Lonchura striata: one gene and its partners. The main gene of each other region encodes a partner of the protein of the gene in region 3 in a complex. Links are inferred from orthologs where the notes say so. Each region holds a gene or a part of one and is shown on either strand. Other genes may lie near its edges.

What was found.
Region 1: the proteins of CLOCK (region 3) and BMAL1 are in contact, whole or in part, in a crystal structure (PDB 4F3L), measured with the Mus musculus proteins. The link is inferred for Lonchura striata from reciprocal best matches to the Homo sapiens genes CLOCK and BMAL1. Residues at the interface, in NP_001276755.1 of Mus musculus: Arg46, Gln49, Phe50, Leu53, Ile54, Glu56, Leu57, Met60, Leu61, Pro62, Lys70, Ser71, Leu74, Gln75, Ser77, Ile78, Phe80, Leu81, Arg82, His84, Lys85, Thr88, Glu95, Ile96, Gln98, Asp99, Trp100, Pro102, Phe104, Leu105; in XP_030097882.1 of Mus musculus: Lys70, Met71, Phe74, Ile75, Glu77, Leu78, Ser80, Leu81, Val82, Asp93, Leu95, Leu98, Arg99, Ala101, Val102, His104, Met105, Lys106, Leu108, Arg109, Gly110, Ala118, Tyr120, Lys121, Pro122, Phe124, Leu125, Asp127, Asp128, Glu129.
Region 2: the proteins of CLOCK (region 3) and CIPC are in contact, whole or in part, in a crystal structure (PDB 5VJI), measured with the Mus musculus proteins. The link is inferred for Lonchura striata from reciprocal best matches to the Homo sapiens genes CLOCK and CIPC. Residues at the interface, in NP_001276755.1 of Mus musculus: Gln519, Leu526, Lys527, Leu530, Arg533, Ile537, Asn540, Ile541, Arg543, Gln544, Glu547, Leu548, Ile551, Gln554, Leu555, Val558; in XP_006515773.1 of Mus musculus: Asn401, Thr402, Val405, Leu406, Ser409, Leu411, Ile414, Thr415, Thr418, Leu421, Ile422, Asn425, Thr428, Gln429, Leu432, Leu435, Lys436, Thr439, Gln440, Phe442, Ile443, Thr446.

The regions. Positions count from the first base shown.
Region 1 is NC_134608.1:58,750,531-58,757,552, forward strand, and holds the start of BMAL1 (basic helix-loop-helix ARNT-like protein 1), read left to right. Parts: upstream 1-3,946; 5' UTR 3,947-4,024; exon of another isoform or gene 4,025-4,066; intron 4,067-4,112; exon of another isoform or gene 4,113-4,178; intron 4,179-7,022. UniProt on the Homo sapiens protein: Transcriptional activator which forms a core component of the circadian clock.
Region 2 is NC_134608.1:22,217,104-22,225,019, forward strand, and holds the start of CIPC (CLOCK-interacting pacemaker), read right to left. Parts: upstream 3,059-7,916; 5' UTR 2,985-3,058; intron 2,636-2,984; exon of another isoform or gene 2,500-2,635; intron 1,135-2,499; 5' UTR 1,033-1,134; coding exon 960-1,032; intron 60-959; coding exon 1-59.
Region 3 is NC_134606.1:27,395,217-27,403,166, forward strand, and holds the start of CLOCK (circadian locomoter output cycles protein kaput), read right to left. Parts: upstream 3,030-7,950; 5' UTR 2,921-3,029; intron 1-2,920. UniProt on the Homo sapiens protein: Transcriptional activator which forms a core component of the circadian clock.

The DNA of each region.
Region 1 (7,022 bases), on a different chromosome or scaffold from region 3:
ATTAATTTGTGTTCTCAGAGACCACAGGGCTGAAATCAATGGGCTGGATTAGAATCTTCTCCTTTTGCCTGAAACAAGCTTTTAGTCCTTTAAATTATGATAAAGGCCAGGAGGAAGAAGAATGGATTTTAAAAACCTCAGAAGGAAGCAGGCACATTAAAAAGTCAACATTTATTGCTGTATATTTAAGAAATTAATGCTCAAATGTGGAAACATTGTGGTAGGAGGGACACCCTTTAAAGCAGCAAGTGTTTATACAAGCAAAAGCAGGAAAACCCAATTTTCCCCTGGCTTAGATTTTGTATTAACTCAACATTTTGATGAACTGGGAAAAGAATGAGTCTGCAACAGCTTATTTTGATAAAACCTTTATTTTGAAGAGGTCTGAGCCAGCCACACAAGAGCTGTGACAGACTACAGTCAACAGGTCACCACTGTGTGATTTTTTGCATCAGTTTGCAAACAATCCAAGCCACTGTTTGCAGTTTTTTCTGCCCTCATAATTGGGTTGAAGCAAGGCACCAACTCTGTGTAACAGGGTGAGAAATAGGGCTCAGTAATCTCTGGGGTTTTTAATGTACAGACAGAACAAGAAATCCAGAGATTCAAATTCAGTCTCCATAATTTTCTCTGAGCTTTGACTTGCCCTGCTGTAGGTAAGATCATAGCTTATATGTCTAGAGAGAAATGGAGAAAGGTTGGATAAAAGAGTAAGACAGGTTAATTAATCAGTATTAATCAGTATTTCCATGGCTGGAAACCTATGAACAAACAGCATCTGCTTAAAATGCTCTAAAGCAGTGGGATCCATAGCTAGGTGCTAAAATAGATATCCTATCTTGCACATGTTTTGGAAAACATTAAAAAAATAAACACATATAATTCTTCTATCTCCAAACCATTTCACAAAATTTCACCCTCCAAAGACTCAGAGATCTGTGTCCTCTGTGTCATGTACTGGGGTCATGAAGCATGGTTGAGAGAATACAAAGTTAATACATCAAAGAACTAATTTGGCTGGTTACTTCTGAACATCTGTAGGTGTTCCAGAGATATATCAAGACTGCTTGAAGGTAACCCCTGCCCAAAAAAATAAATCCAAACAGAAAAGAAACTATCGGTTTTTGGGTTATCAGTTGAGAAACCAGATTCCTTTTTCTGCAGGGAAATAGTTATAGATTTAAACACTTGCAGATTCTAAAGTGAAACTGCTGATATGGCCTTATCATACCTTAGGTAGGCTGCATTTAATGGCGATCGTATCTGCCACTCTTCTTGACACAAAGTCAAAATCCTAAGACCTGCAAAGTTTTATTGTAGCATTCAAATGTGAATACAGTAATCAGTTGGAACATGAGCTACTTTTTCCACTATTCTATTAATAAACAACAATTTTCAGTACAATTGCCACATAGCACACCCTCTTTCTGCTTTTAAATTGTCATTGTAAGCCAATCATGAGTGTAAATGTTGGTGTTTAAACATGATGTAACCATTAACATATTAACATAGCTAAGGAGGCAGTTAACGTTCTGCCTAAGATCTAATTTACTGCATTCTTAGAAAGAAAAAGCATAAAATCTGAAAATTAATCATGTGAGAGTTGTCTAGATGAGGAAATGCTTCTGATCTTGTATCAGACACACCAGTGCACAGTGCCCTGAGCTGAGCACACAGCTGAGCTGGTCTGCCCAGCAGCTCCCACGATTTGTGGGGTGCTCTACTTCATGTGCTCCCTCAAGTACCTTGCAAGGAGAAAATGCTCCACCTTTGGTCAAGCCTCACCTCTCCTGTTTGCCTTTTGTCTCCTGAAACGTGTGGTAGAAGAGTGGTGCAAACTTTTTTGGTGTCAGGAGCTGAACTCAGGTCTTGTCAAATTTCAAATTCTTAGCTCCTCATTTTTAGAATTTCAAGGTATAAGATGCCTGATTCACCTACAGATAGAATGCCTGCACTGACCTGACAATCTATTTCAAAGAAAGTCACAGAACTAGACTGATATACATCATCATATGGTGAAATTCGGAATTTGATTAACCAGATGCTATTATTTTCTTTAATATCTCATGAATAGAAACTACGGTGTAAAAACAACTCCAAACAATCTCTCACTGGGAAATCTGACATATGGCCTGCTAAGCTGCTCTCCTACAGAAATAGCAAAAGATCATTACTCTTGGCATCATTCCCTACAGCAGGCACTGGGCTCATTAAAACAGACACTACGCGATTGACTCCATAAGGAAGATTATTTCTACAGATGGGTAGAAACAATGAGCAAAACTACAAAGGCCGAGTTGAAAGAAGTAGTCAAGGAGACTTCTCCACCTCCATAACTTCTGTGCACTAAAACAAAGCAAAGCAGCACCATTTTGCTGGAAATAAGAAGATGCATCTTCTCCTCTCTGTTCACAGTATACATTTCCGTCCTACTGATGTAGTGTTTCATTTAACTCGCTCTTCTGGAGGGTTTCTGCCGAATAGGAGTACCCTGATGTGAACAGAGAGTTTGCATCCAGCAGGGGCCACTTGCTGCCAGTGTTTAGTCCCCACTCAATTAGGAGTAAAGGAGCTGTTAATGCTGTCCCGGGCTGAGCGATGGAGGATTGGGACAACCAAACCCACGCCGTGCCCCAACCCCGCTGCAACCCACACTTCCCCGGTGATGTTACCCTGGGAAACGTAAACCAAACCTCTGGGACGTGGCATCACAGGACAGGAAATGTTAACACAATTAGGATGTGGCAATGATAATCTGATGCAGCGCTCACGCAATCCCATTTAGCAAATGTATGCATTTGAAAGCAGCTCCGCTGTGATTATGTTCTTGCAACACATCCCCTCTACGCTGCTGCGTGGACTGTCTAAATTTAGACCAGAACATGGCGCAGTGGATGGCTCTACCACATTGCACCTCTGGCCTGGTGCACACGCAGAATGGAACAGGCTGTGAGCAGCTCCAGAGGCGACGCAGCATCAGTGACCAGGACATACATCGCACCCGGAGCATCAGTGGCAGGGACAGGCATGGCACTCAGCAGCTGGAGGACACGGGGGCTGAGGGACAGGGGCTGAAGGACACGGGGGCTGAAGGACACGGGGGCTGAAGGACACGGGGGCTGAGGGACAGGGGGGCTGAGGGACACGGGGGCTGAAGGACAGGGGACTGAAGGATATGGGGGCTGAAGGACACGGGGGCCAATGAACACGGGGGCTGATGAACACGGGAGCTGAGGGACAGGGGGCTGAGGGACAGGGGGGCTGAAGGACACGGGGGCTGAAGGACACGGGGGCTGAGGGACAGGGGGCTGAGGGACAGGGGACTGAAGGACACGGGGGCTGAAGGACACGGGGGCTGAGGGACACGGTAGCGGCCCTCTGGCAGGGCGGGTGGCGGGCAAAGGGCCGGTGAGCGCGGCGCAGAGAAGCGGACTCTCAGCGGACGGGAGGTGCCAGCACCGCACGGGCTCCCCGAGGCCCCGGGGCGGTGTGCGGGGCTGCGCCCGGGCCCCGCCGCCGAGGGACGGAAGGAGACGAGGCGCGGGCAGGGCGGCCACGCCGGGGCAGCGCCGCCATGACCTTCACACCTCGGCGCGTGACGTCACGGCCGCGGCTGACGTCACGCGGCGGTGACGCAGCGGCCCGGGCGAGCCCCGGCGGAGGGGCGGGCAGCGGGCGGTACCGCGGGCGGCGCCGCCGGGGGCAGCAGCGCGGGCGATGCCGAGCCGAGCCCTCCCCGCCGCCCCGGCCGCACCCGCCCCGAGAACCCCGCCGACCCCGCCGCCACCGCCACATCCGGGTCCCGGCGGCGCCCCCCGCCGAGGGGCGGGACCAGAGCCCGGAGCCGCGCTTCCGATTGGCCGGTGCCGCGGGGCCGCGCGGGGATTTGCCGGCGCTCGGGGGGGCGGGCGTTGCCCGCTCGGCGGCCGCCCATTGGGCGAGGCGGGCGCGGAGCCGCTCTGCCGTTGGCGGGCGGGCGCGTCCGGTGCGGGGCCGGGGGAGGGTGCCATTGGCTGGAAAGTAGGTTAGTGGTGCGCCGTCGGGTGGCAAGCCAGGCGGAAAGTAGGTCAGGGACGGGGGCTGCCTGCGCCGGGCGTGCGGCGCTGCCGGGGGGCCGCGACCCCCGCCCGCGCTCCCTTCGGCCGGGCGCGGCGCGGCGAGGGGCGCGCGGAGCCGCGGTGAGCGCCAGGGGCGGCGGGCGGGGGGCGTGAGGGGCAGCGCGGCCCCGGCGGAGCCGCCGCCCCCGGGGGCCGCGGGAGTCCCGGGAGGGGCCCGGGCCGGGCGATGGCGGCGGCGGGACCCCCCGGCGGCGGTGCCGGGCTGCGGAGCCGGGAGCCGGGAGCGAGGCGGGGGCCCCGTTACGGAGCGGCCCCGGGGCGGGCTGGCCCGGCGGTGTGGCGGCACCGCGGGGACGGGGCGGGCGGGCCCGGAGCCCTGTCAGAGCCGGGCCGGGGTCCCGCGGAGGGCAGGCGCGGCGGCGGGGGCGTGCCGGGCTGTGCCCTCTGCCCGGTGCGAGTCGCCCTCAGGGGTGGCGAGGCTCGGGCGGCCCTCACGGAGGGGACGGTGGCGCTTCCCCTGCCCGAGCGGGGTCTCGGCCGGCCGCTCCGGGATGGGGGCGGCCCCTGTGAGCGCCAGGAGGATGGCGGTGCTGGGGAATTCCCCGCTCGGTCCCGCCCGCGGGCAGGTGCCAGCCCCGCGGCCGGCGGCTGCTGGCGCCGCACGGAGCGTCCCGGGACGTGCCGGGGCTGTTCGCCCCGGGATCCCCGCATCCCGATCCCCCTCCGCTGCCCTGGCCGACACCTGTGTGCGAGGGGAAGGGAGGAACGGAGCACACCGGGAACACCGAGGCGCCTTCCCGAGATCGGGGATTTTGCGCTTGGGGAGGCAAGGGAATCTCTTTGCATTTTTAATTGCTGAGGTTTCTGTCACTCCGGTGTCTCGATTATAACAGTTTTGGGAAGATTTTTGTGCCTGAAAAACAACGGTGAAGGAACAAGTGGGTGTGTTTTCTTGCCTTGGAAGTAAATTTGCTTGCTGGAATTTCATAGCATTTCCTTAGTGTGTGAGGTAGAAAGGGTCAGCTGCAGAGTGTGTTCTAATCTCTTTTCAAAATTCAGCCTTTAAGTGTATTTTTTTTTTTTAAATTCTGGAACTTCAGCATTCAAAATATTATGTTTCTTTTTTTTAACACGCTCATATTAAAAGTACCTTTTCTTTTATTAAAAGGGCTCATTAAATGTGAGCGACTGATAGTACGCAGGCTGCAGCTGAGTCTGTAAGGGAGGAAAGAAAGAGTTTTGTTCCAATTAAGTATTAATTCCAGCTAACTGTCTCTGTAAACGGTCTTGCAGGAGGATGAGGTTAAACTCTGCCCTCTTCATAATGTATGTTTTGTATCCTCCAGGAATATGTAAATAGCTCTTTGAAGCATCAGGAACTACAGACCTCTCTCTGGTTACTGTAAACCACAGCTGCTTATTAAGGAAAAAGGCTTTACTCCTCCTGACCTCTGTGGGTTTGTGCTTCTCATGACCATTCCTGGATTTTTACCCCTGCTTGTAGAAATTGAGCGTGTAAAATAATCTACAGCCACAGCATTTCATTGGGGTTTTATGCTGTTTTATCCCAAATTCTCTTGCACGCTGTGCATTTCTGTTGTCTCTTTGGAGGCCAGCTGTGGTGTGTGGGGCTGTGAAGGATCAAGCTCTGTAAAAGAAGTTCTGTGGGAGAGCAGACAAGAGAGAAGCACCACAGAGAACGTGAAGCTGCCTGGTTTGGGTGTGGGGAAGCTAAGGTGGCTGGAGCTGGCATTCCACAATGCCAGAGCTGGAATTAGGGGCTGCTGCCACGTTCCTGTCACCATGTGCTCCCAAGAGACTCTCTGTGTTTGGGGACCCTTGCTAGGGATGTATTAGGAATGATGTATTAGTGATGTTTGTAGGGGGACTTTAAAGGAGATTTGTTTTTCTCCTTCAGATACCTGCTCTCAAAGATTATTTCGGGCACCCAGGAGTAAGAAGAGAGAGCATTTATTGGGTTTATTTGGTGGAGCTTGGGGTTGCACACAGTCCTTTGAAGCTGTGCAGGACTGATGGCAAAGCTGAGACCTGTGAGAGCTGCAGCCCTTGAGCTGCAGGTGAGGAAGGCAGATTTTCCAAGGGAATGGATATCAAGGATGCTGGAAATACCAGGAGATGTGCAGGTTATTTAGTTTACATGAGTACAGAAGTGCTGTTTCCGTGCTCAAATGTAACATTTTAAGCTGTTTTCAGCATGGGGCCTATTGCCTGTGTTGTTATACTTTGAGGGAGTTACAGGGAAACCTGAAGGAATACATTATTGTTAAGTGAAACAAAGTAAATTTGGTGCATCCTGTAGCGACTTTCAGTTCTGTAACCTGCAAGCTTTTCATTCTTAACCTTTACCGTCAGTTTTATCTATAGTTCTGTTTCTAAAAAAGGGCAGAAAAGTAGTAAAAGGCAGCTGCTTGTATCCCCAAGTGTTAGGAAGTTAGTTGTCTTCAATAAAAACTGTATAAAGGCATATCATAAGCAAATGACTGCAAAGAGAAGCCCAAAATAAATACATCTTTTTAATCTTGTGTAGCTTTTTGGTTCTCACTAAGTTTACAGAATGCAATATTTAAGCTTTCTCTATTTACTTTGATACAGTAAACATGTTTTGAAACTTTAATTTTTGGCTGTCATCATATTTTGAGAGCTTCAGCCTGAAATAATTGATTTTTATAAAGGCAGTCACTGACTGGATGATGCTGACTGGGAACTCAGTTACCAACTTTTGAGATTTGGTTATTGAACATTCTGCTTGATCAACCCACAGCAATGACGGTCTGTGTTTTGAAGGTGCTTGAAGATGAAAATGAGGTGGTTGATGGCATTTTCAAACCTGGTGAAAGAGCTTTCAGTGTCTCTAAGACACTGTAGGTAGATTTTGGGCAGTGGATTGATGATGGATGAAGCAAAGCAAAGGACCTGCCTGTGGGGTGTGTGTATCTATCCGTA
Region 2 (7,916 bases), on a different chromosome or scaffold from region 3:
GTTCAGCACATCCTCGGAGTCCGTCTGCTCCATAGCACTTGGGCATTCTGAACTTCCATCTGTCAGATGTAGAATTCAGCTGTTAGTTGTTCCACATGCAACATGCTTACTATTGCCTTTCAGTTTAATATTCTGCCTCATTCAACCAAGTCACAAAGAACAATAAAGTTTAGTTCTGTAATATCAACAAAATTAAAGCTGCTATGACAGATGTCAGACAGCCTCTAATAAAAGGCTTTGTATCTCAGGTCAATTCTTATACAGACAGTTTCTCTCATAAAAATCTACTTTCTGTTCTTTTGTACTTATGTCTCCAAGGGACTGCATAGTATCATCAAGGTTGCATTAGTCAAAAAACTGATACAGGAAAGCACTATAGGCTCCAGCATTGGCACATCCATAGTTTGCGATGCAGGCATTTTGTGTCTTGAAATTTTCTATCGAAAACCCAGTGAAGCAGGTATCTTTCATAGAAGTAATTGTTTCTCTTGTTTAAAGGTAATTTTTGCACAGTTTTGTTGACTACTAAAATGGCACACCATGGCTATTATTTTACTGATGTTATAACCACTACCCTCTGGTTTATCAGGCTCTACTGGCAATATGGTCAGATCATAATAGGCACTGGGGAACTTAATCCAACAATTCATTCATCACTGCAAAGGAAAAGTAATTTTGACATCTCCACTTCTAGACTCTAAAGTCTAAGATTATTCCATTAATTCTAAATTCCCATTCCATTCAAATTCACTGAAATTAACTTTGTAATTTGGTAATGTTCCACTTCAAAAAACTTTGGTGGTAGGATGATTGTAGTGGAAACCTATCTTGCACAGGAAGGTCCTCCAAGGTAATGAGACACCAACTGGAAGGGGTTACTCAGATTTGTTAAATGACACCAATTAAAGCACAGCCTCAGCACAGTAACACACAAGAAAGGTAACAGTGTTTTTCTAAACCTGAATATCCGGAGTCTTTGTCAGATTCAGCTGCCGCCATACTGAAGCGATGGTTGAAGCTCTTCATTTCCATCACTCTGCCCAACAACTCCTCACAGGTGTCAGTAAATTACTATTTTGTCTGAGTGTTTCCATAGTGTCGTGGGCAGTTTTTAACACCTCTTCCATTGAGGAACTGAAAAAACAGTTAAGAATAAAAAAGGACTTTATCTGAATCTAAAGAAAGTTCCATCAGTATAAGACAACAGTGGAGGACAGCTGCCAGTGATCTAACTGCAGACTTCAAGAAATATCTCAAAATCCTGAAAGAATGCAATTCACATAAAAAACTGATGTATTGGACATGCCTTTCCACCCCAAAAAGGTAAAACAAACTAAAAATTAAAGGCTATTCATAAACAACATTTATTTCAAGAATTGGAATTACTCAGGGCATTACTTATCTTATGAAAGCTTTGTTGCCCCAAGGGCTGAATTGCAAAACAAAACTGTTGTGCTGGGTGAAACTCTTACAACAAATACAGCTGAACCTGCAAAACTGTGGTTTTGCTAACAGAGCTTGTTTCATTCTCAAGAGTAGAGTAAGTCATCAGAGAAAAGAATGAGTGATCAGTGAACACACTGGGGGCTAAAGAAATCTATGCTGCTAAAAGAGCAACACATACTGCAATACACTCCTAGGGGAGACAGAGCCTTAGAAATACCCACAACCAGAATGAAAGCATTGAAAGGCTGAAATTAAAAGCTTTGAAAAACAGTAAAATGTTCCCACACTACATACTTTTCGCAACCTTCAGTTGCTTTCTGAGGGTAGGCAGCATCCAGTAAGATTAAGTTTCTGCTTCTCTTAAAGAAAGTAACTGAGAAATTGGCTAACAGAAAACTGACAGAATTAAGTGCAGAAATTTCTACTATTATTTGTAGAAATTATTTTCCTATAAAGTAACCCACTGAAGTTATGTCTCAATGTTAAGTTTTATATTTAAATTACAAAAACAGGAACTCAGGAGTCTGCAACATGGTCAGGCCAGCAGTCCATCAGCAGCAATATGCAGTACAAGCTGTTTCAAATGAACAGCAACAGACATTCTGGAATAATCTACACCAAAATGCAAGTTTCTTCTTCAGGTCCTGCCAAGTTTGCTAAAAGTTTGCTCCAAATACTGAGTCTTAGCACCAGTATTGAATTCTGAAATGGGAATATGACTGTCTATTACAACAATACTGGAATTATGGTCAGCAGAAGAAAAATTCCTCAAGTAGCTATTTGCATCACTTTTACTTTCCATCTTCAGTCACACCTGCCTGCCTGCTAACAGGTATGGAACAAACATGGTTACACAAGCGCAACCTAGATGCTATCCCTGCAATGGAAGAAGTGGTTTAAGTCCTGATCCATGCTTTCCTCACTTAACCCTTTCCAAAACAAATGTATTTTTTTAAGAAAGTGATAAGCAGAAATGTTGATCTAAAATAAAACCCCAAAACCATCTCAAACTAAAACAAGAAACAGAGAGGGCTAGAAATAAAGTAAGAACACCTTATCTGCCAGCTTTGCATCAAGTGAAGCTTTGGGAAGCGTTAACAGCATCTTCTCTCACAGTAAAGCAAAATATCACTACCACAACCGAAAATAAACAAACCAGAAGTGCCACTCCCCCCAGGCACGGGCGTGAAAAACCTCCTGCTCATCCCCGGGCCAGAGCCGCCCCGCTGGGCCCGGCGGGCAGGCCCTGGGCCGCGCACCGCCCTTAGAACCGGGCACTCACGCCGCCGTCCAGGGCCGGGTCTCCCCCCGATCCCACCCAGCCGCCTCCCACACGCCAGACTCCTGCGGCACGAGGAGAGCCCGCTCGGGCGGGCCCAGCCACTCGGCTGCCGGTCCGAGCCGCCGCCCCGCCACACGGCGAGGCGCGGCAGGTACAGCCCAGCCCCGGGCCCGAGGGCCGCCGCCGCTCCCCCGCGGCCGCCGCCGCCCGCCGGGCCGGGCCGGGCCGGGCCGGGCCGGGCCGGGGCGCCCCTCACCTGGGCGCGGGCCGCCACAGCTCAGCCGCGCCGCGCATGCGCTGCACCCGCCCGGGCACGGCCCGCCCCCACGGCCGCCGAGGGGCAGCGCGGCCGCCGCGCCCCGAGCGGGCATGCGCAGAGCCGGGCGGCGGGAGCGCGGGGCGGCGGCGGCGCCGCCGGGCGCGTCAGGGAGCCGGGCGGCGGGAGCGGAGCCCCGAGTCTGGGGCTCCCCAGTGCTGCACAGAAAAAATACAGCTCTTCCCCACACAGAAGGTCAGGCTTTCGTGTAGCCTCTCTCAGTTCATGAATGAGGAAAGCAGCATCAAAGAGGTCTCAAACTTGTCAAAGAGAGAAAACACGGCAAAAAAAGGAATCACAGAATCAATTAGGTTGGAAAAGACCTCGGGTCATTGAGTTCAACCTATGACCTAACACCACCATGTCAACTAGACCATGGCACTAAGTGCTACATCCAGTCTTTTCTTAGACACTTTCAGGTATGGTGACTCCATCACCTCCACGGGCATCCTGTTCCTATGTCTAATAATCCTTTCTGTGAAGGAATTCCTTCTCATCTCTAACCTGAACCTCCTCGGGCACAGCTTGAGGCTGTCCTCTTGTCCTGTCTCTGGCTGCTGGAAGAGGAGGCCAAATCCCACACGGCTACAGCCTCCTTTCAGCCTCCTTGTGAGAGTGGTAAGGTCACCCCTGAGCCTCCTTTTCTTCTGGTCTGAACACCCCCTTCTGTTCCTCACAGAACTCGTGCTCTAGATCCTTCACCGCTTTCATCACCCTTCTCCTGACTCACTCCAGCACCTCAATGTCCTTTCCTGAAGGGAGGGACCCAGAATTCAACACAGAACTCAAGGTGTGGTTTCACCAGTGCCAAGTACAGGGGAAGAATCACTTTTTCCTGTCATGACTGAAAACAAAAACAAAAACAAAACAAAACAAAAAACCAAACAAAACCAACAAAAAAACAAAAAAAACCCCCAACTTTTGTGTGGTTGGAAAGTGTAAAATACATGGATCTGGTTTACATGAACAGCATATAAACCAAGGGCAAATAAATAGGAGGAAGTGAGTCCCTGGTTCAATGAAAAAGCTAGAGTAGCTATTCTTGTTCTGAGAACTGCATAAATGCTACCAGCACCGAGAAATCTGTCAGAATACTTTGCATTTGGACATGAAAGCCATTTCATTATAGCAAATTGAAAAGACTGTGTGGAAGACCTGAGCAAATACAAAATTAATTCCTCAAACAGAAATAGAAAGAAATACTTTCATTGTTATGATGGTCTTGTTAAGGAACCTGAAATATGCTGATTTAGGAGGGCAACAAGATGTAAGAAATTCCTGAATGAAAAAGAGAAGGACCTTTAATCTCAGCATAGTCTCATAAACAACTTGCCAAATGCAACACAAAAATGTCTGAGGTTACATTAAATGACACCATAATTTTAAAAAATAAGGCACTGTTGGGTTCCAGTCCTACCAATCTGAAATGCTGTGAGAGAACACTAGTGACTCTTATTCTTAGGATGTAGTTTTGAGCACAGAAATGCCAGAGTTGGCTCTGATTACATCTAAGCTGTAGTGTGAGATGTGTGATCTCTAGACTCTGGATTTGGATCCCTTACTGTTCAGGAGTTTTGAGGTCTGAGGAAAAGCATGCTAAGAATGCTATTGTATCATCTTATTTGTACAGGCATGGTCTGGGGTTGCCTTGTACCCTGAAACAGCCCTTACTGTTCTCCACAGAGGCCGGATTTCTCAGGATATGGAGTATGCATGGCTGCTCAGTGAAAACAGCTCACCAGAGAGCAAGTAGCCTGTGTTTAGGACAGACAACCTGCTGTTCAGTTTACGTGATTCAGAACAGATTTGGGATATGTGATACCAGGCCTTCATCCAAGGGGCAGCAGGTAGGATAACTGAAATACTACACTGTTTAATAGAGAAGTTTTCCTGGATAGTCAAGGTAAACCTTTTTCTGAATAAATGAAATCTTATTACCGAAATGTCCCTGAATTAAGTTGACTTAAATCTTAGGTTTATATTGAACATCATCTAAATTCTTCCTCTTCCAAATATGCTGTATTTGTAGTTTTATTAATATTTCTGTCATTGCCCCTTCTCTCCCTTTTCATTTAATTTGATTCTTCATTGATCCAAGGTCTCATTTACTGTGTGAGTTCAGTGATTACAGTCAGTGGCAACAGGATGTTTTCCTTTTTCCTTATGTTATACAGTGGTTGATTTGTTTATCCTAAAGGCGAGTGTTTTGACAAATAAGAATTAACTTTTTGTTCACTTCCCTGTTTATTCTGGTTGTACAACAGGAAGAGTGAAAAGAATGACTGCATGTTTATTCAGTGTAGGTGTTTCAACACTTATTAAAAAAAGGTGTTGAATATTTTCTTTCAGGAGAAGATGCAGAAATCATCTTTCATGGCTTAAGAGTGACAGAGGCAAGTTTTTATCTAATTAGGTGGTTAAATAATGTGTGCTTACCGAACAATTAATAAAGGTGTTGATGCATCGACTTCATAAGTGCTTGTGGGACAAAGAATCTTTTGTCCTAACACAGCAGTAGAAAGAAATGTTTGGCAAACTTTGGAAATAAAGCATAGCCAGGTCAGAAGAATGTCGTTTCATATTACACTGTCTGAACTGGAAAGGTTAGGTCTGAAAACACCATGTACTCAATCTTTTTTATTCATATACTCACTGCTTTGTTTTGCAATCACAGACAAAATACAATTTAGGAAGTACTATATTAAGTTAGTTTGCAGATAAATATCTTTATTCATCTCACTTCATTGAACCAGTCTAATTTTTATGATATTTTAATACAGGTATCTTTGTTCCTTCTGTTATTCACTTCTGTAATTTTAATACATAAATAGACAAATATTGTTTAAATGATGCCTCATAAGTTTTCATTGGTCTCAACAAAAGAATTAATTCATGCAGATAAAGTGTGTTGTTGGGCATTAAAACAATATTAAAGCTTGAAATCTCTTTGAAAAGACATTCCACATATATATTTTGTTAATAATTAATATCTTATTTAATAAATATCAAAGCAGGAAACATTGTGTGATCATAGAATTTCACCCAGAAGTTGACTTAACAAGATTTTTCTCTAATGAAAGTACTTTAGTAATGGCTCCTTGTCTTCTAAATTTCAACTTTAGATATGTATTCTTTTCAAAATACACATCTTTCATATTGTTATATCCATCTGCAACTTCATCTTTACCATAAATGTGTCCAATTTAAGACAAGGCAGAATGAAGACAATTTCAAAATGACAAATTATTAACAGAGATGGCATAACAAGAATGAAGCACTTTTAGTGCTCTTACACTCTTCTATACTGTTTTATGTTGGATGAGAACAAAGGTGGATTTAATATTCCTTTTACAACTTCTAGGCTTTTGGGCCAACTGAGGATTTGGGGAAGCAGTGCAAAAGAGCAGCCCAATGACTGCTTTTAACCCTTGCAGCATCAGAGCATTGCAGCAGTCGAGAGTGCTCTGGAGAGCAGCAAGCCCTTCTGCATTCCCTCACCTCCCAGCACTGTCATCCCCTCTGTCTGCTCTTCCATATAGTGTGTGGAAAACTACAGGGTGTAGAAGGATACCTTTACTTAATAAGTGCAATGCTCCTCATTATAGTGTTGTTTTTTTTTTTTTTTCTGGTGCATGAATCTACAGGATTTAAATTGTTATAATGGAAGAGCTACTATTTGCTCCAAAGCAGGCTAGATGTTATGTTTTCCTGGAGTTCCAAAATTATTTATGTTTGTATTTCAGATATTGATGGTGGCTTTGGGAGTTTTGGGGGTTTTTTGGTAGGTGTTGAGCCATCTCTACAGACTCTTTTATATGGATTGTAACTTGTGCAGTGTCTTCATTTTTCTAGTTGCATCTTAATTTTGTGAATCTGAGAACTGAGAGAAGCGTCTTCACGTTCTACATGGCTTCTGTATGCCTGCGTTACTTGTAATAACCACTGGGTGTCGTGAGTCTCTTTGGATTACAGGACATCGAGAAGGACAAAATTAGTCCAGTCAAGGACTGCCTATGGACATTTTTTTTCGGGTGAAAAGGTCTTTGTCTAATTTACATAGGATTGCAATAAGGAATCCCAAATCTTACTTTAAAATAATGTTACTTGTTTAGCTAAATGTGTGATTCTTGGGGCTGTCCTGTGCAGGGACAGTAGCTGGACTTTGATGATCCTTGTGGTCTACTTCCAATTCAGAATATTCTGTGAGTCTGTGGGTCTTTATTTATGTACCAAGGGCAACTAATACGAGATAGGAATACTACAAACAACAGCCTAATTCTCTACATGTTTTATTCCCATTACCATTCAACTGAATGACATCTTGTTTGGCAGAAAAACACTTGAGATGTCAGTAGGTAAGTAAAGAAATCCTGATATTATAAGTGTATAGCATAGCAGAACTAAGGATGAATTTGGGATCTCAAATCTGTATTTTCTGAATTGGGGATCTCAAATTGGTATTTTCCTAATTTTTGGGAACTATATTTTACATGGCTGTATTTGAGAGTATGATTTTGGTAAAGATTTTGGCCTATTATTTTAATAATTTTTTGCAAGCAAATGAAAAGGCACAAATTTGTAACTTTATATGCTAGGATAAAAAATGGACTTCATGCAGAGAAGAACTTGAATGTTGAACCTTCAGTACAGACCTGTGCTGCAGAGGATTAAAGACCAACCATATTAGTTGCACATAGAAGGATTACATTTCCCACAGACTGGTCAGTAGGAGATCATATGATGTGGTAACAGTGATACAGCCGTGTGCTGTGCCTCACAGTATGGATAGATGAGCCAGGCACACAGGCTGGACGGAGGCTTTCCGAGAAGCTCAGATGCCACTGTGACTCAGTTGCTTTCCCTTTGGGCTTG
Region 3 (7,950 bases):
TCATTAACACTGAAAGGTTAAATATACTTTGCAAAGTAAATAAACAGAAATTAAGAATGGCAGGAACAATCACTACTGACTTTGCTATGCCAGTACCTACTAACATCACCTCATAATCCTCAGAAACAGTTCTACACCTGCTTTCACACTCAGCCTTCAGTTTGCAGTGCTCATAGAGAAGCTAGTGCTTTCAAAAGGCTGAAACACTAAAATAAACTTTTCTTCACTTCAGAGATCTACCAAAGTCTTTGTCTCGAGCAAAACTAATTCATGACAGTGTGATGAAAAGGCACCTTTCAGCTGTAATTCCAATTCTTCTGAATTATATTTTGTATTAAAAACTGTATTAGGATGATAATTTTCTACTTCAAGAGGAGAGCTATCCATAGTCTTCATTATAAAACTAGGCTGAAACCATGAGGCACTGACAACAAATTATATGTATCTCCTGAAGGAAAGCGTAGATAAAAAAGAAGCTCCTTTCAAATGAGGAAATTACCTAGTAAAGAAAACTGCATTTTTGATTCACAAAACTTTTCAATACAAGTTTATTTGTTTTTAATAAAAAAAACCCCACAACTTTCCAAGTTGAAAAACATTTAATATAAAGAACATGTGGAGAAGGTGAGGGGCAATACCTCTACTATCACTTAATACCTTCAACTTTTCTCAGAAATTTAAAATCGGGGCGGGGGGAGGGAAAGCAAAAGCCTAAAGCTCTTAAAAGCAACAATTTATTTTACAAGACCAATCCAACCACAAAGATTCATGACTTCCATGAAATTCTATACCAAGAAGCTAATTAACCAACACTGCAAATAAAATTTAAGGTAATTACCACTGAGTTTTAAAATTGCTTAGTACAAAGAGAGCAAAGCTACCTACAGCAGAGGTTTGGAGGTCCTTAGAAGAGCATTAGTAACAAAAACATACTCCTTTCCTCACATTCTTTTATTTTACCTAAATGTGTTAAAACTTTTCCATGTAAGAGCATGAAGCGGAAGAAATAAAAAACAAGACATGGCTGAATGGCACCTGAAACTATTAAATATCAACCCGGAAGTTTGGGGTTTTTTTCCCTGTTTGAATTGTTTGTTAAGAAGCAGTAACCCTTGCCTTACCAACAAAATTCTCAGATAAACTTGCCATATTCTACAAAAACCTAAACCAAATACATTTTGTCTGGTAATCTGAAAGCAGCATCTGTAGCAAGTTTGAGAAAGTGTCTTAAGTGGATACATATGAAAATTAATAGTTTAACTTATAAAAAAAATTAAAAGCAAAATTACTTTCAACTAGAATCTCCCTATTACAACAATCAAATGCTGTCCATTTTCAAATAACAGGCCCAAATCCCACAGATATTTATAAACAAAGTCAATATTATTTCTGTAAAACTGAACATTGTGAAACAACTGCAACTGTTCATACTGAACTTTGCCAGGACTACCACAGTCGAGCTGTATTTCTCAAGTACTTCTTTCTCTAGAGTATTTGCTTAAACAATCCTCTTGCCTCCTGTTACACCTGTTAGCCAGAGAAATTATATAGGTTAACTATAACCACGTTAAAAAGAAAAAACAAAAACACAAAACCTAGGTAGTCAATTTTAACCTGGATCATTTCCTCAAGCTAGTTACAGGACCGATTTCCAAGAACCGTTGTGCTGGTGCAGCTGGAGCAAGGAAGAGGCAGACCAGGTCAAGTCAATACTGCCACCAAAAGCACTGCTTGTCAACCAGTCATTGAAGTAAAAATACCTACTTTAAGGATTTAGAGCATCAGGTTCTATGATCGGCCACTCTGCGTCTACATAGAGTTACATATTCCAGCCAAAACCATACCTGATTTCCCCTATGCCTCTTGGTAGGTTATCTCTTTAGCATATGAAAACAGGTATACAAAAATCTTACTGCAAATATATTTGATTAGTTCACAAGCACTACTCCCCATGGAAAAAAACCAAACATTTCCAATTTATACCGAGGCCTAAAATATCTGGAACTTGAAATTGAAACCAACGAAAAATCGTGATCCAACTTAACCCAAACACAAAACTGAAGTACCATGGATTTCCAGTCCCTCGCTGCTCGTATTTCACACCTGCATGCACGGAGCATTAAAGAGACTGACTTTAAGGCCGCAGTAACTCGAAAAAGGACCGGGGTATACTGAGAATCCCTCAGGTTTTACGAGCGTGAACACGTTGCGGTTATCGCAATAAAGTTATCGTAACCCAAAAACAAAGGGAAAATTAAAAGCCTACGAAGTGCATACGTAACCCCGCAGCTGCAGCCCACCTGCCGCAGGGAGAGCGCGGGGCACGCTCTCGCCACCGCCCGGAGCCCGAGGCCCCGCGGAGCTGTCCCGCCGCGGGGAGGGCCCGGGGCCGGGCGGGCACCGACCGCCGCCCGCCCGCCGTGTCAACACCCGCGCTGCGGGGCCGCCGCCGGAACCTCCCCCGCGCGTGGGGCGGCGGGCCCGGGCGCGCCCCCCGGCTCCCGCGGGACGAACCGCCCCGCGGAGCGGCGGCGCAGGGGCCGCGGGGGGAGGCGCCGCCCGCAGCCCTGCTCGGCCCGGCGCAGCCCGGCCCGCGGGATGCCGGGGAGTCCCGCGCCCGCCCGGCCCGGTCCGCGGGCGCGGGGCCAGGCGGGCGGCGCTCCCGCCGCGCCCCGGAGTTGTGACAGGAGCAAAGTGGGTCACCGGGCCTAGCGGGTGCCCCGCGAGCGCCCCCCGCCCCCGGCCGCGGCCGTGCCCGCCCAAGGGCAGCCGCTGCACTCCCGCCCCCCGGTTCGCGGCGGGAGACACACGCCGGCGCTGTCAAACTTCCTCCGCGCCGCGCCCCCGCCTTCCCCTCGCCAGCGCACACCGGGCCCCGGCGGGTCCGCCCGCACCGCCCCGCGCCGCGCTCGCTGCTCACCTGGCCCCGCGCTGCCGCTGCCCGCCTGCCTGCCCCGGCGAGCGCCGCTCCACGCGCGCAGCCCCGCGCCCGCCGCCCGCCGGCACTGCCTGACTGAACCTGCTGCTCCCGCTCCTCCGGCGGCGGCACGGCAGCACCCGGGCCCGGGAGTCCCCCCGACACCACCGCGCCTGCGCCGCCGAGCCCCCACCGCCGCCGGCCGCCGCGGCGCCTCGCGCCACCGCGCGTGCGCCGGCGCGTACTGCAACCCGCGGCAGCCCGGGGCCGCCGCCGCCGCCTCCGCCGCGCGTGCGCAGGAACGGCACGGCGGGGCGGCGATCCCCGCTCTGCGCGCGCGCCTCGCCTGGCGCGCGGGGGGGCGGGGGAGGGCTGCGCGCGCCGCGCAGGCGCGGTGGGCGCGCGCCTCCTTGACCTCGGCTCACCTCGCCTGGCCTCACCCCGGGGCGCGGGAAATGGCGGCGGACGGGGCGCCGCCCGCCGAGCCCGCGGAACGGGCTCGCTGAACGCAGCCGCTTCCCCGCCGGCACCGTGAACCCGGCGCAGAACGCCGTCGCACGCGTGTTCCGAAAGCGGAACGAGCGACATCCCGGGTCCTGTCCGGGAAATGCGTCCCGAGGTATTTAGGGGTTCAACGAACCCGTCCCAGCGGAGGTCCGTGGTTTGTTCTTTCCTGTGCATAAAGCGGAGAAATTCCCAGAGCGGCAGAGACCAGACGTGTTTGCCTCAACCCTTTTGTACGTACGAGGCTTTTAATACAGTTCCATAATATTTAAATATAAACCTGCTATGCCTGCAGCAAAACATTGTGGCGAGTCGTTTTTTGTAATATAAAACGCTTAGAAGTAAAATTGTGTAAGTAATCCAAATTTTTTTCTCACAGTTAAAAGGATTTTATTTTTTAATTGGTATCTGAATAGCAATGTATTTAAAAGTATCTGTATAAGTTTAATTCGTGTTTATGTCTAGAATAAAATAAAGAACTTGACTGCAAATTGTCATGGATTTCTTTCTGGGTTACTTTTCAGGTAGTTCAGTTTCCCCATTTGATTCACAATCGTGACCAAAGTCTAGTGCAAAGATACTGTAGGGACAGGAGCTTCTTTACCAGTAAAGCTCCCAAAGAGCTGACCATAAGCTTTTCCACTGGAAGAATTCTGAAAAACATTAGCAAAACTGTTTATTTTTGTTTCTGATTCACAATACTCTAATTTTAGCTTTCAGTTGAGGAAAATGTGGCATAAGGAAAGATAATTATACTATCTTATGCACAAAGGATAACACTTATGATAAAATGTAGTAGAGACAATAGGGTAGGATTGGAATATCAAGGAAAAAATGCAGGAATATTTTCACCAAAAATGCTTATTTATCAGAACTAGAATATGGCAAAGAAACCAGGAGGCTACAAATAACTTTGCGCTGTATCTATTGAATTTTCCAGAAGATCTTTAATAAGCAGTGGTAATTCTTCAGAAGAAGGGGTGCTGCACTATCTCTTCACACCTTGCATGAATAGGAGCATAACACCTACTCACTGCAATGTTGCAGTGACAAATTATTCTTTGACAAGATCAAAACAAGCAACACAGCTGTGGAGATGATGCACATTTGCATTTTCTGCCAAAGCTGTGGCCTAAGCAAGGTCATTTTTTTAATGCTGCTTTTCTTTTGGCAGTATTTTGTAGGATCCTGAAGGAGCAGAACAGCTTAGAGATGGTGTGGTGGTTTTATGAACTATTCTTCTAGAAATACTATTGCTCTGCTCTTGCCATCAGTGTGGCTTTGCTGTGTAATGGTAGTTGTGGTTCACTCACAGACTGTGAAAGCAAACACAACTTTTAAACAATGCCAAATTAGGAGCAGCAGATCTTTTGTGAATTGGTGAACGGTTGGACTCCATTGAGCTGGAAATGGAGACATTTCCAATGCACTTCCATTAACTAATAGCCGTATTTCCTAGAGAAATGCCATTGCTGTCCTGCATAATGTACTTCAGAGCCACAGAATGACCACCTGCTTAGTGTGCTCCTTTTTGATCCACACTGGCCTGTTCAAAAGAGGATCTCTTATAGGAAACTGGTACCAAAACTAAATTTCACATCACTCCAGAATACTAAAATGAGCGGATGTTAACTTGAAATCCTGTCACAATCCACATAACCCTTGCAAAGCAGGGTTGGCTAATATTCCTGGAGCCTTTTCTGCCAAACAGTGTAAATGACTCAGTACCAGAAACATCTGGTTTTAACCTGCAGATTACCTTGGATTTTGCTGCTGCTTTGTCACATCTGATGGCTTTTATTACAACCGTGTGATCACTTTGGTTGAACAAAGGCAGGGTCACCAAAGGGGGATGTTTGGCTCTTTTCCTGTTGCATCTGCTTCCACTGTCACACACTGTCCCTTGCAGCAGCCACAGTAGTGGGAGGGAGGCTGGCAGCTGAGAGGAAGCAATGCTGCTTTTATAGCAGCCAACTTTGATACTTGAAGGGACTGTGCAGTCGTATCTAAAGTCCCTGATGACCTATTTACATTTAAAACTACTAGCTAGCGTTCTAGTTTGAAGTGGCAGATAACGGCACATAAGCCGTTGTCTCTGAAATGCTTCTACTAGTTATCTCTGAATCTGGAAAATAAAAGCTTCCAGCAGTGGTATCTGCCAGTAGGTATCCACCAATAGGCTTACCAAAGGGGTAGAAAACCGTATTTGAACTAACTTATGTCAGAACACATGATCTTAATTAATTTTTTTTCAAGCAATACATGTTTTTATCTCAGTAAAATATCTTACCATGAAATTGCAAAATACCGTGCCTAGGCAATATTCTTACCACAGAATTATGTAAATCTTATGCAAGTTATTTGCCTTTTTTTCAGATTCTTTTTTCCCTTCAAAAATAATCAAATACCTTTTCAACTTTTAAGAAGTGGACTTTAGATCTCCTCCCCCTTGTTTAGCTATCCCAATGAACCTGCCTTGTATTTCACCAGTTTATATACAAATACTGTGGCTAAACACCTTGTAATTCTGAGTGCAGCAGTTTACAATGGCTTTGAGAAACTTGCCTTCTGGAAACTTTCAGGCCAGCAGTTTGAGGTGTTCATTAACCAGTAAACACATTGGGATACTGAAAAAGAATAAGGAAATATAATGACAGTTGTGGTGTAAATGATGTGTAAAATAACTGAAGTTATTAAAGCATTTGAAGAGCACAAGTCTTCTATCCTATAGTCTGCTTCTACTTTAATTTGTTATAAGAATTGCAGGACAAATTTTATTTAGCTTCTTCCAAGATCATTATGATTTAAAGAGCTGTTGAAGTAAAAAAACATAGCAGGCACAGTCTAAGAAATATGTTAGTAAAGCTACCAGACACTTCAGGCACTGTACCTCAGTTTCATTCCTCACTAAGTTTTTAAAACTGATTTTGTCCATTGTAGAATTTAAATAATGTTTTTGAATCTGTAACATACATTCTACTTTATTTAAACTAGATTTTAATTTAACATCTAAATACTTCTCCATTCCCTAAGTAACATCGGGGAAACCTTTGTATATTTTTATTTTTAGCATGTCTTACCATGTTCATTATTTTCATAGTTACTATTTAAAATACAATCTATATAAACCCCAAAAATCAACCAGGAAATGAAGAAAACACGGACACAGAAAATGCCAAAACCAACAGGGATTTTTTGTTCCCCTCCAGGCCTTTGAGCAATTAGGATCTTTTGAATCTGACTGAAGTTAAATCAGCTGGCGTGGCCTGTGGACCTTGGAGGTCAAAGGCAGGTGATCCAGTTTTGTCATGAGGATTTTTGTGGATACTCATTCCTAAGGGATTACAAATTTCCTCAGAGGCTCTTATTTATGCAATGGTAAAATATAGAATTGCTTCTCCATTATATAAATCAAATTAAAATCAAGAAAGGCCACTGGTTTCTCTCTTCAGATCTTGAAATTTAAATTACTGTAATTCTAACAATTTCATTTGGTTGTCCTATTCCTTTTGCTCCTGGAAAAAATATTTGATTCCTGACAATTGAGAAGAAACCCCCTCCCAAAATACTTGAAGGAAAAGATAAAACTGTATGGGTATTCTCAGTTCAGTCAGAGAGAAAGGAGAGTTTCTAACCAGGCTGAATCTAAAACTGGTCTGAATCTAAAATATGATTATACATTCTGTACTAATTCTCAGTGTTTTTCAAAAACATCTGATAGAATTGCTAACATACACAGAACCAATCATGGGAGTCCTTTGACATTTCTGCTGCATCCTGTCACAACTTCTGCTACCATCTGAGAATTTACAGGGCCATCGATAAATTAACAAGTCCCCCAGCTTTCCTCAGTTTACGTAACTGAGACTTTTTCTGATGGGCTTTTGATTTGTTCACGTCAAAGGAGAAATAAAGGTAGAATAATCCTGTTAGACCACTCCTGCTGAGAAAAGAAAGTGAAAACAATGGACACCACTTTCTTAGTGAAACCCAGAGCTCTCAGTAAGGTTACATACATGGTGATAAACATGCACAGCAAAAGAAATCTTCCATGTATTTGAACAAAAGTGAACAATTAACTCTCACAAAGTGAATTAACAAATCGAGTAGGTCAGATGCGCTATGATTCCATTGTTTCTAAGAAATTGCTATTTCATTAGCCACTCTTATTTAATTTTTCTAGATTTTTTAAAAAGTGCTAGTTCAGTTCTTTGTGTTGAAGTATTCTACATCTTATGCAAGAATGTAATTACCTTGACCAATAAAGATTAATCATAGCCCAAACATCCTCTGGAGCATTTGTAAACTTCTTTCACATACTGCTTTCCACAACTTTCTCTTAGCTTCACATACTTTTGCTTCCTCTGAAGACATTTCCATTCCTGCAAGAGCTGCTGCTTAATTAGAGAGTAAAAATAATAATAGGCATCTTTGCAACATTTTACATGCATTTTACAATAATATCTAGTGCAACGCAATTACTTAAATTATTTGAGTAATTCTTGGGCTCACAGTCAACATTTTAGAGC